2 linked regions of the Tribolium castaneum genome follow. Each later gene encodes a partner of the first gene's protein in a complex. Links are inferred from orthologs where the notes say so. Each region holds a gene or a part of one and is shown on either strand. Other genes may lie near its edges. The genes, in order: Bulli and Mon1.

Region 1 (4,441 bases):
AGTCATGGAAAAGCTACCAGTTGATAACTATCAAATTTTGAAATACATTATTAGCTTCCTTTCAAGGGTAAATTGTTTCGCATGGAGGTGAACCGATTTTTACGTTTTTTGTAGGTGATGGAAAGGGCCGACTTGAATAAAATGAATGCACAAAACTTAGCTGTGGTATTCGGCCCAAATCTAGTGTGGTCTGAGATCGAATCGATGTCACTGGTGGCCATAGGCCCCATAAACATGTTCACCCAGTTTTTGTTGCAACACTGTAACGCGATATTTATGATTTAAAATGCTTTAAGGAGTCGATTCTGTGATTGTTATTGCATTTTTTTCAGTACAAAATTCGTTTTACATTCTAGATCGCGACCACTTACGACAGGGTTTCTGTGTCAAGATTAATTTGAGCCATAATCGTGTTTTACTTAAATTGTTATCATCTCATATTAATTAATAATGTTGATCATAAAATAGTTTGCCTGGATATATCATGTTAGACGAAAGATGTAAGAGATTTAAAGTACCAGTTTGTGTTGCTTATTACGACAAACATAAGACTTATAGAAGTAGTTATGTAACTGTAAGAGCAGTAACAAATGTAGTAATTTTGTAAATTATATATACCGGTGCATATCCTTTATTGAGGAAGAGTTAAATATTTTGTACACTTGTATTTGTTGAGAATTAAGTTGCTTTAAAGGGTATGTGCCTGATTTTGTATATTGAACGAAAAAATAGTCAAAATGCCAAAGAACTGTTCCAACCCCTGGGTTCTAAATTAGATTCTACATTTGTTAGTTTCAATTTCTTTATTTAGAAAGGTATCAATAGTTTACAGGTCCAATGTAGAACACTTCAAATGGTTTCTACCTCTTGTATTTATTAACCCACTAACCATTCCATCAGAATTTATTTTATTTTTTATATTATAATGTGTCTTATAACCCTACCAATAAAGTATGATATAAAATGTCTCATAATTTGCTTTTTTCTAATTTCTCCAGGATTTGATCCACCTACAAAATTACACAATTAAAGATAAATAAATGAGTGATTAAATAACGTACAGAAGTAAACCACCAACTATTGGGCTTGAACACAAAACTGCTTATGAAAGACATTTCCGAAACTGGTGATATTATGTGTAAATGCAAATGCGATACTGAATTAAACGGTGGTAAATGAAAACCTAGTCTTGTATCATCTAGATTACCTCCTTTGTCAGCTAAAACCTGTTTACTTTTGGCTATTAAATCATTAACTGAAAAAAAAATAGTACATAAAAAATAATCTCTAATTTAGCCAATTACTTAATGGAATTTGATTTTTGGAGAGACTATTTACATTAGGGATGTGTTCTTTTGGCACAGCTAAAAAATGGTGCTTGGAGGCCGGTTTAATATCCTTGAAAATAATCATTTTGTCATCCTGATGGAAGATTTCAGCAGGGGCATCACCTGAGATAATTTTGCAAAAAATACAGTTTGACATCTGCAAATTACATAACTTATCAATGGTCCAGCACTAAGTGGATAAATTCGAACTTGCCTTTGTAATACTTCTAAAAGTTTTCGCTCCACGGAACGAATTTGTAAAAATCCTGCTGACAGGTGATTTATTGACAATTGTTATGACAGCTGTCATTTTAACGTCAATGTGACAGTTGAGGTTAGAATTGAAAATGTCAAGTGATTTTTATTTGGAATTGTCTGAGAACCCGGTCCGTTTTGAGGCCGTCAACCAGCTCACAAATGTCTTCTTCGACGACTCGAACAAACACGTAACTATCCCGAGATAGATTCTTGTATTTTTGGTGACAGCCCCCTTGAAGGTGTTCGCGGTGCGCTCGGGTGGCGTTATGGGAGTGGTGGTCAAAGGCCCAACAGAGTCCGACAAACCGCTCAATTTTCGAATGGAAGACCACGGCCCCGTCCTATCAATAAAATTCTCCCTTGATCAGAAGGTTCTGGCAGTTCAGCGCTCAAACACGTCGGTTGAGTTTATGAATTTTAACGGAGCGACACTCGATTCAGAGTACTCCCAAAGCTGCAAGAAGAATTCGAACATTTTGGGGTTCGTTTGGTCGCAAAATAATGAAGTTGCGTTCATGACCGACCACGGAATTGAACTCTACATGATCATCCCGGAAAAAAAGTCACTCAAATACCTTAAAACCACCTCGGCGACTGTTCAGTGGTTCGTCTGGTGCTCCTTAAACAAAATCGCGCTTCTGGCATCGGCTCATGGGTCGCAGCTGCAGCCTGTGCTTTTTAAACCGGGGTCAATAAGCAAACTGCCTAAAGTTGAAAGTAAGTTTTTACGCTTGCGCGAGAGACTTATCTTGGGGTCACGATAATTTTTTTTTCAAATGTTTTGTTTTAAGCCGAACCTGGCCGTATGGCTTTAGAACGAGACGTAACTTTGTCCACTCTGTACGACATTCCCGCTGTTTTAATTCTGAGACATCAGAGTGGCCCCCAGAGTGCTGAGGTCCATGTACACACCTTAAGTGGCCCGGGACAAGCCGCCGTTAAAACACATGTCTTGAAATTGGGGCTTTCTGGGAGATTTGCGATTAATATCGTTGATGATTTGATTCTGGTCCATCATCAGGTAAATACAGTAAAACTCTGCTTATCCGCACCAATTCTGATTTTTTTTCTTATTTTTATATTTGTTGTTTTTCATTATTTTAAACTTTAATGCTCTTCATCATTTTTTGTTAATTGGTTATTAATTAATAATACAATATGCAATAATTAATCAGGTGAGTTTAATAGTAATGCATGCAAATATTTTTATATGGGTTATTAAAAAAAATACAATCACCCCTTATAAAATAGGTCGAAAACAAAAGGATAAGCATTTTGTCTGTAATAATTATCAATAGCTTTTTTACATTATATTTTATTTTTTTTATATTTACCTACCAGAAAGCTAAAGGACTATTCTGTGTGGTAGTTCGTGCAAGAACAAAGGTCCTTGCAGCCTGTTCGGTGCCACATTAGAAGTATCTAAGTCATAATCCGTTGAGTTCTGCTCAATGGAAATATTTTCAAGATGGCAGCACTTCCGGTTATACCGGAAGTCGCTCTCAACTTTTTTATTTTAAATGAAACGCTGTTTTTCACTGCAGTTGAATTATTTAAAGGGAATTTTTACTGTTTTTCCCTATACTTAATTTTACCGTTTTCGAAATATTTAAGATTTTTTGAAAATTTTTGGATTTGCACCACTCACTTAAAAAATTGGTAACTCTCTTAGTTTCAGAGATTTCGAAATCATATTTGGAGAATTAAAAGAGAAGGCCCATATCCAGTGTGTCCAAAATTGCGAAAGAAGTTAATAAACTGTAAAATTTTATGGTTAAGTTTTGACAATTTCAAATACCCACAACTTAATTTTTTCAAATAAAATGTCCCAATTTTTATTTTAGTAACAAAATTTCTGTACACTGTAAACAAAAATGTCGGTTGCCGTTTAAAAAAATAACAAAATGACGTCTTAACTCAAAAACCAATGACGTTACAGATGTTACAAAGATGTCAAAATGTATTTTTTAAATACAAAAATAACGACTTGTTCAAAGATTTTTGTGCAAAGTGACCTACTACAAAAATATGAATTTTATACGTTGCTTTAATTTCCCTATAATTATTACACAATAAGAATTAAGATAAGCATTTTTTCTGCACTATAATTATTCATCTTAATAAGTTAATTAACATGACTTAATTGAGTCAAATGACCGACTTTTTACTCGTCAGTATTTTCGTATTGCACTACGTATTTTGGTTTAGGGTTTGTCAAATTGTCACCCAACTCTTGCTTAAGGAATAAATAAATTTCATTTTATTTTTCATTTTTGAAATTGATTAATTTCAAATTTGAAAATGCAATTTGGGGAAAAGATCCATCAGTATCAATGCATTTTTTTTAATTAAGTTTAATTTAAACTCTCTTCTGGAAAGTAATGTTAAATGTTACAAGCTTTTCATTAATTACAATAATTAATAACCTTAGGTAGAACTGATGGGGTGGTGAGTTGGTGCCGTACTCTCTAATTTATTTGTTCCTTATAATCGGTAGCATCAAAATTAATCGTTGTAAATTCTTGAACATTTTTAGTATGTGTATGTTCGGGCCAATAAGTAATAACTACTAATAACCCTGCTATTACGTGTGTAAGTTACGCAAAAAGATGATTTTGGTATAAGATGAGGAATAACGAGCAGTAAAATTGTTGACTACAGATTACTTTCATCTTAGTAAATTCAACCAATTATGCATTTAGTAAAAACCATAGGTATGAAAACAATATAGAGGGCAGAATATGTCATCCATTTTTTTATTGCTTTTGCATAGAGAATTAATTTAAAACAAATCATTATCTTCTTATTTTAAAATTAAAATTATAATTTCGTTAAAAAGAAAAAATATCAAATTA
Region 2 (3,905 bases), on another chromosome or scaffold:
TTTATTATCATACCTTATTTATTAAATATTGCCCTCTGACACCTTTATGTTTTAAAGAAGGGTCTTTCATAACAGTCATAAATCCAGGGTCAGCCACTCCGTCGCATATTTTGATGAATCTATCTCTGTATTAAAAATAATAATAAAATATTTAAAGAAAATTAAAGGAAACATTACTGAATTTCATCCAATAAGGCATGACTAACATTGTTCTTTATCACAATATATCCATTATCTTCATAAAATTGGCGTTGTTCGTATGTTAGAACACCACCGTCTTGAGTATACCTAAATCTAAAAATTGTACTTATTAATATGCACTTAATTTTTTGTTTAACTAAATTACCTTCCCATTTTGTTCGGTAACGCAGACAATTCTCTTAAGAAACTTGTCCGAATAATACACTAAAACATAAAATTATCTTGTTTATTAAATACACTTGAATTATGTTGCGTCATTGAAGCATTTATTTATAACAATACAAAAAACATGTACTTAATGATTTCAGTGTCAGTAGTAAGTAATAACAACACATTATCGAACAGATACTCAATAATAAACAATTACTTTGAATTTACTTGTACTGTTTTTAATCAAATGTCAAGCATCCCACCGTTTAAATAAATAAATCAATGATACGAGAACAGTAAGAGCCGGTTTACAGAAAATTTTAATTGCAATTAAATTTTAATCGCGATTAACTTGACATTTGTCAATGCATTTTAAATGGCAACTTAATTCGAATTAGTTTAATTTCGAATTAAATCTTAATTTCGCTTTCTGTAAACCGATCCTTAAACTTATAATTAAACATACTGTCTATTTTTTTCTCGATTTTGTTACTTAAGTACCTACTACTTAAGCCGTAGATATACATATCGCTCAAATTGTAACACACTATAATAATTATTTGTGCGTAAAAAGGAACTAACAAATGCTTTTTCTTATTATCGTTGTTTGTTAGTTGTTAAACACTCACCTCGTTATCACAGCACGCAAAGTACAGTAAATAATAAAAGTCTTGACCTCTGCATACCCAACAGATGATCTAACTAAAATTTCACTATTTATCTAGTTAGAAGGTTGGTAATGCTATATTTTTAAATAAATTAAGTGTATTTCAGTGATGTATTTATTTTCAAGTTTGAAATAACATACTACTACCAAAATCAAAATTAATTTGAAACCAAAATGTAGTGCAATAAAATAAAAAATGACATTCTCTTATTTTTTACACAATAACTACGTATTTAAAAAACTTGGAAAAGCGGAAACTCAATTAATATAATAGTTGCTCTTAACTTGTTTAACCACCTTAAAGCCCTGCCTTAAGAGTTTTAGTTAGAAGTATTAGTTAGAAGGTTGGCACCAAAATTGACAACTGTCAAAAAAATGTCAGGTTGAGGTTAGAAATCAATCAATCAAAGAGCAATGCATTGAAATCTCAAAAACCCAACAAAATTCCGACGATTTTTCAAGAATGTTCGTGAATTTCACGTGAACTAAAACCCCCAACAAAAAATGTCCTCGAATCTGGAAGTTGAGCCGGGGGCAGCCTCCGAGAGTGTCCTTGTTACCACCGACTCCTTTGACAATTTTGATCACATGAGCTCGAGCCTCGAAGAAATCAAAAACCTGAATGCACTCGCGGAAAACGACTCAAACGTGGAAAACAGCAACGTCGAGAATTTTGACGAAATCAGCGAGAATCTCTCAATTAACAACGAAGAGGACGATTTCGTCCAGTCAAAGGAGTGGGCTTGTAAGAACAAACATGTCTTTGTCCTCAGCATGGCCGGGAAACCCATCTATTCGAGGTTGTTATCGTTTGCATAATTTTTTTCTTTACAACTTATGTCTCAGATATGGAAACGAGGATAAGCTAGCCTGGTTGTTCGGTGTTATGCAAACACTGGTTAGCTTCGTACAGTCAAATGAGGACACCATTAGGAGCATCCATGCCGGGGACACGAAGTTTGTCTTTTTAATTAAGAAACCGTTAATTTTAGTCGCCGTTTCTCGAACGCAGGAAAGTGTAAATCAGCTGTGTTCACAACTAAAGTGAGGGTTCCCACTTTGTTATTTTTTCTAGTTTTGTTTATTGCAGCTACGTATTTAATCAAATAGCCAGTGTCTTAACCTTGACTAGACTTAATAAAATTTACGAGCAACGCCAGAATTATGACTTAAGACGGCTTCTGGCAGGTGTTGAGAGACTCATTGACCACTTGCTAGATTTCTCAGAGAAGGAGCCTTCGTTCACTTTGGGCGCAGTCCAGTGTCTGTCACTTGCGTCCTCAGTGAGAGACAACATCAGCTCGGCCATTGTCGGAGCTTGCAGCAAAATTAAAGTAAAAAAATTGTTTCAAAAAACATTTTTAAAATATCGTTTCCAGAACCTAGTTTTCGCAATACTTCTCGCAAACAATAAACTTATCACTCTAGTCCGCATGAAAAAATATTGCCTTCACCCGGCCGATCTCCATTTAATATTTAACTTAGTCCAAGCCTCCGAAAGCCTCAAAACGGCTGAAAGTTGGACACCGTTATGTCTTCCACGGTTTGACGCTAGTGGTTTTTTATACGGACATGTGTCCTACTTGGCTGAAGACTGTCAAGCGTGTTTGCTCCTCCTGACGGTGGAAAGGGACGTATTTTTTGCCCTAAGTGAGGCGAAACAACGCATAGTGGAAAAACTGCGACGCAGCAACTGCTTAGAAGCAATCAATGAGTCGCTGAGTGCGAAAGAAGAAACTTGCATTGTTGCGGGTTTCCCCGAACTTAGGCACTATTTGTACAAATGCAAAAGTACAGCACAGTTCTACCAACCAAGCTTGACCCCACCGTACACCAAATATAACGAGAGACTAACAAAGTTGTACAAACGGGCGCATAACTTGTTGCATTGCTCGACGAGGCCGCTAAAGTTGTTATTTGAGAAAAACTCAGACGAGGCGATTTTGGCGTGGGATACGAGAGGTTTTGAGCTTTATGTAGTTTTCGAGCCCTTGATTGACACAAACAGTGCGATTAACTCAGTGGGGCGGCTGCTGAACTGGATTAAGAAAAGGGAGGAGAAGTTGTTTCATCTCAATGCGCCCACTTTTTGAGCCATTTGATTTGTATATATTATAAATATGTAAATTTTGTGGAAATCTAAGGTATAGGCTTAATCTGTGATATTCACAATCCTAAACTTGTTGATGTATTTAATTATTGATTGTATAAAACGATGTATTGAAAAATCAGTGGTGTCTGTCTCGCTCCCGTTTCCTGTCTTTATCCTTACGATCTCGCTCTTTTTCGCGGTCTTTCTCCCGGTCCTTGCGCTCCTTCTCCCTGTCTCTTCTCTCCCTATCGCGCTCCTTCTCCCGGTCGCGGTCCCTCTCCTTGTCCTTCTCCTTCTTGTGGCGTTCCTTACTCCGACTGCGATGCCTTTCTCTGGATCTGCTGCGTTCCCGCTTCCTCTCCCTTTCTTTCTTCTCTTTGGGCTTTTCTTCAACCAACTCGTACTTGTTTTCTTCCTCAAGTTCAATCTCTTCGTCCAAGTCGTCTTCAAGGGCCGAGATCTTGGCTTCGAGTTCGTTGCTTTCTTCCAAAACAATGCGTTTTTGAATGCGTGGCAAAATAACATCACAAACCTTAAAAATTAATTTTACTATCTACCGTAACAAAAAAAACACGTACTCGTTCCTCTCGTAACAATTCGTCAATAAACTCGTCCATGTGTACAATTTCAAACTGCGCTTGGCGATTTTGTCGCCGCAACTTCCTGTTGTCGTTGTACAAAGGCTCAAGATATTTGTAACAGTCTAAGGACGACCCTGTGAGTCTCATGTAGAAAGCACCGAGGGCTCTGACGTATTTAAACTCCTCGTTTTTGATGAATTCAACTACAATGTCT

What was found.
Region 2: the proteins of Bulli (region 1) and Mon1 are in contact, whole or in part, in a cryo-EM structure (PDB 8JBE), measured with the Drosophila melanogaster proteins. The link is inferred for Tribolium castaneum from reciprocal best matches to the Drosophila melanogaster genes Bulli and Mon1. Residues at the interface, in NP_648047.2 of Drosophila melanogaster: Ile561, Arg565, Lys568, Asp590, Leu592, His595, Ser596, Arg599, Phe600, Met603, Phe631, Pro632; in NP_608868.1 of Drosophila melanogaster: Pro416, Glu417, Arg419, His438, Pro439, Glu445, Arg448, Met473, Lys474, Glu475, Arg476, Glu494, Pro495, Val496.

Annotation. Positions count from the first base shown.
Region 1 is NC_087394.1:22,491,817-22,496,257, forward strand, and holds the start of Bulli (regulator of MON1-CCZ1 complex), read left to right. Parts: upstream 1-1,638; 5' UTR 1,639-1,675; coding exon 1,676-1,774; intron 1,775-1,825; coding exon 1,826-2,303; intron 2,304-2,377; coding exon 2,378-2,607; intron 2,608-4,441. Other genes in the region: RhoGAP68F (rho GTPase-activating protein 1), read left to right, coding at 1-67, 115-285; adenosine 5'-monophosphoramidase HINT3, read right to left, coding at 969-1,010, 1,062-1,255, 1,305-1,485, 1,543-1,638. UniProt on the Drosophila melanogaster protein: Positive regulator of the Rab7 guanyl-nucleotide exchange activity of the Mon1-Ccz1 complex, possibly by enhancing its endosomal membrane association.
Region 2 is NC_087396.1:19,985,514-19,989,418, forward strand, and holds Mon1 (vacuolar fusion protein MON1 homolog), read left to right. Parts: upstream 1-1,323; 5' UTR 1,324-1,522; coding exon 1,523-1,818; intron 1,819-1,864; coding exon 1,865-2,062; intron 2,063-2,108; coding exon 2,109-2,352; intron 2,353-2,397; coding exon 2,398-3,111; 3' UTR 3,112-3,246; downstream 3,247-3,905. Other genes in the region: phytanoyl-CoA dioxygenase, peroxisomal, read right to left, coding at 14-125, 178-294, 347-354; Prp38 (pre-mRNA-splicing factor 38), read right to left, coding at 3,247-3,642, 3,689-3,905. UniProt on the Drosophila melanogaster protein: Part of the Mon1-Ccz1 guanyl-nucleotide exchange factor complex specific for Rab7 that promotes the exchange of GDP to GTP, converting Rab7 from an inactive GDP-bound form into an active GTP-bound form.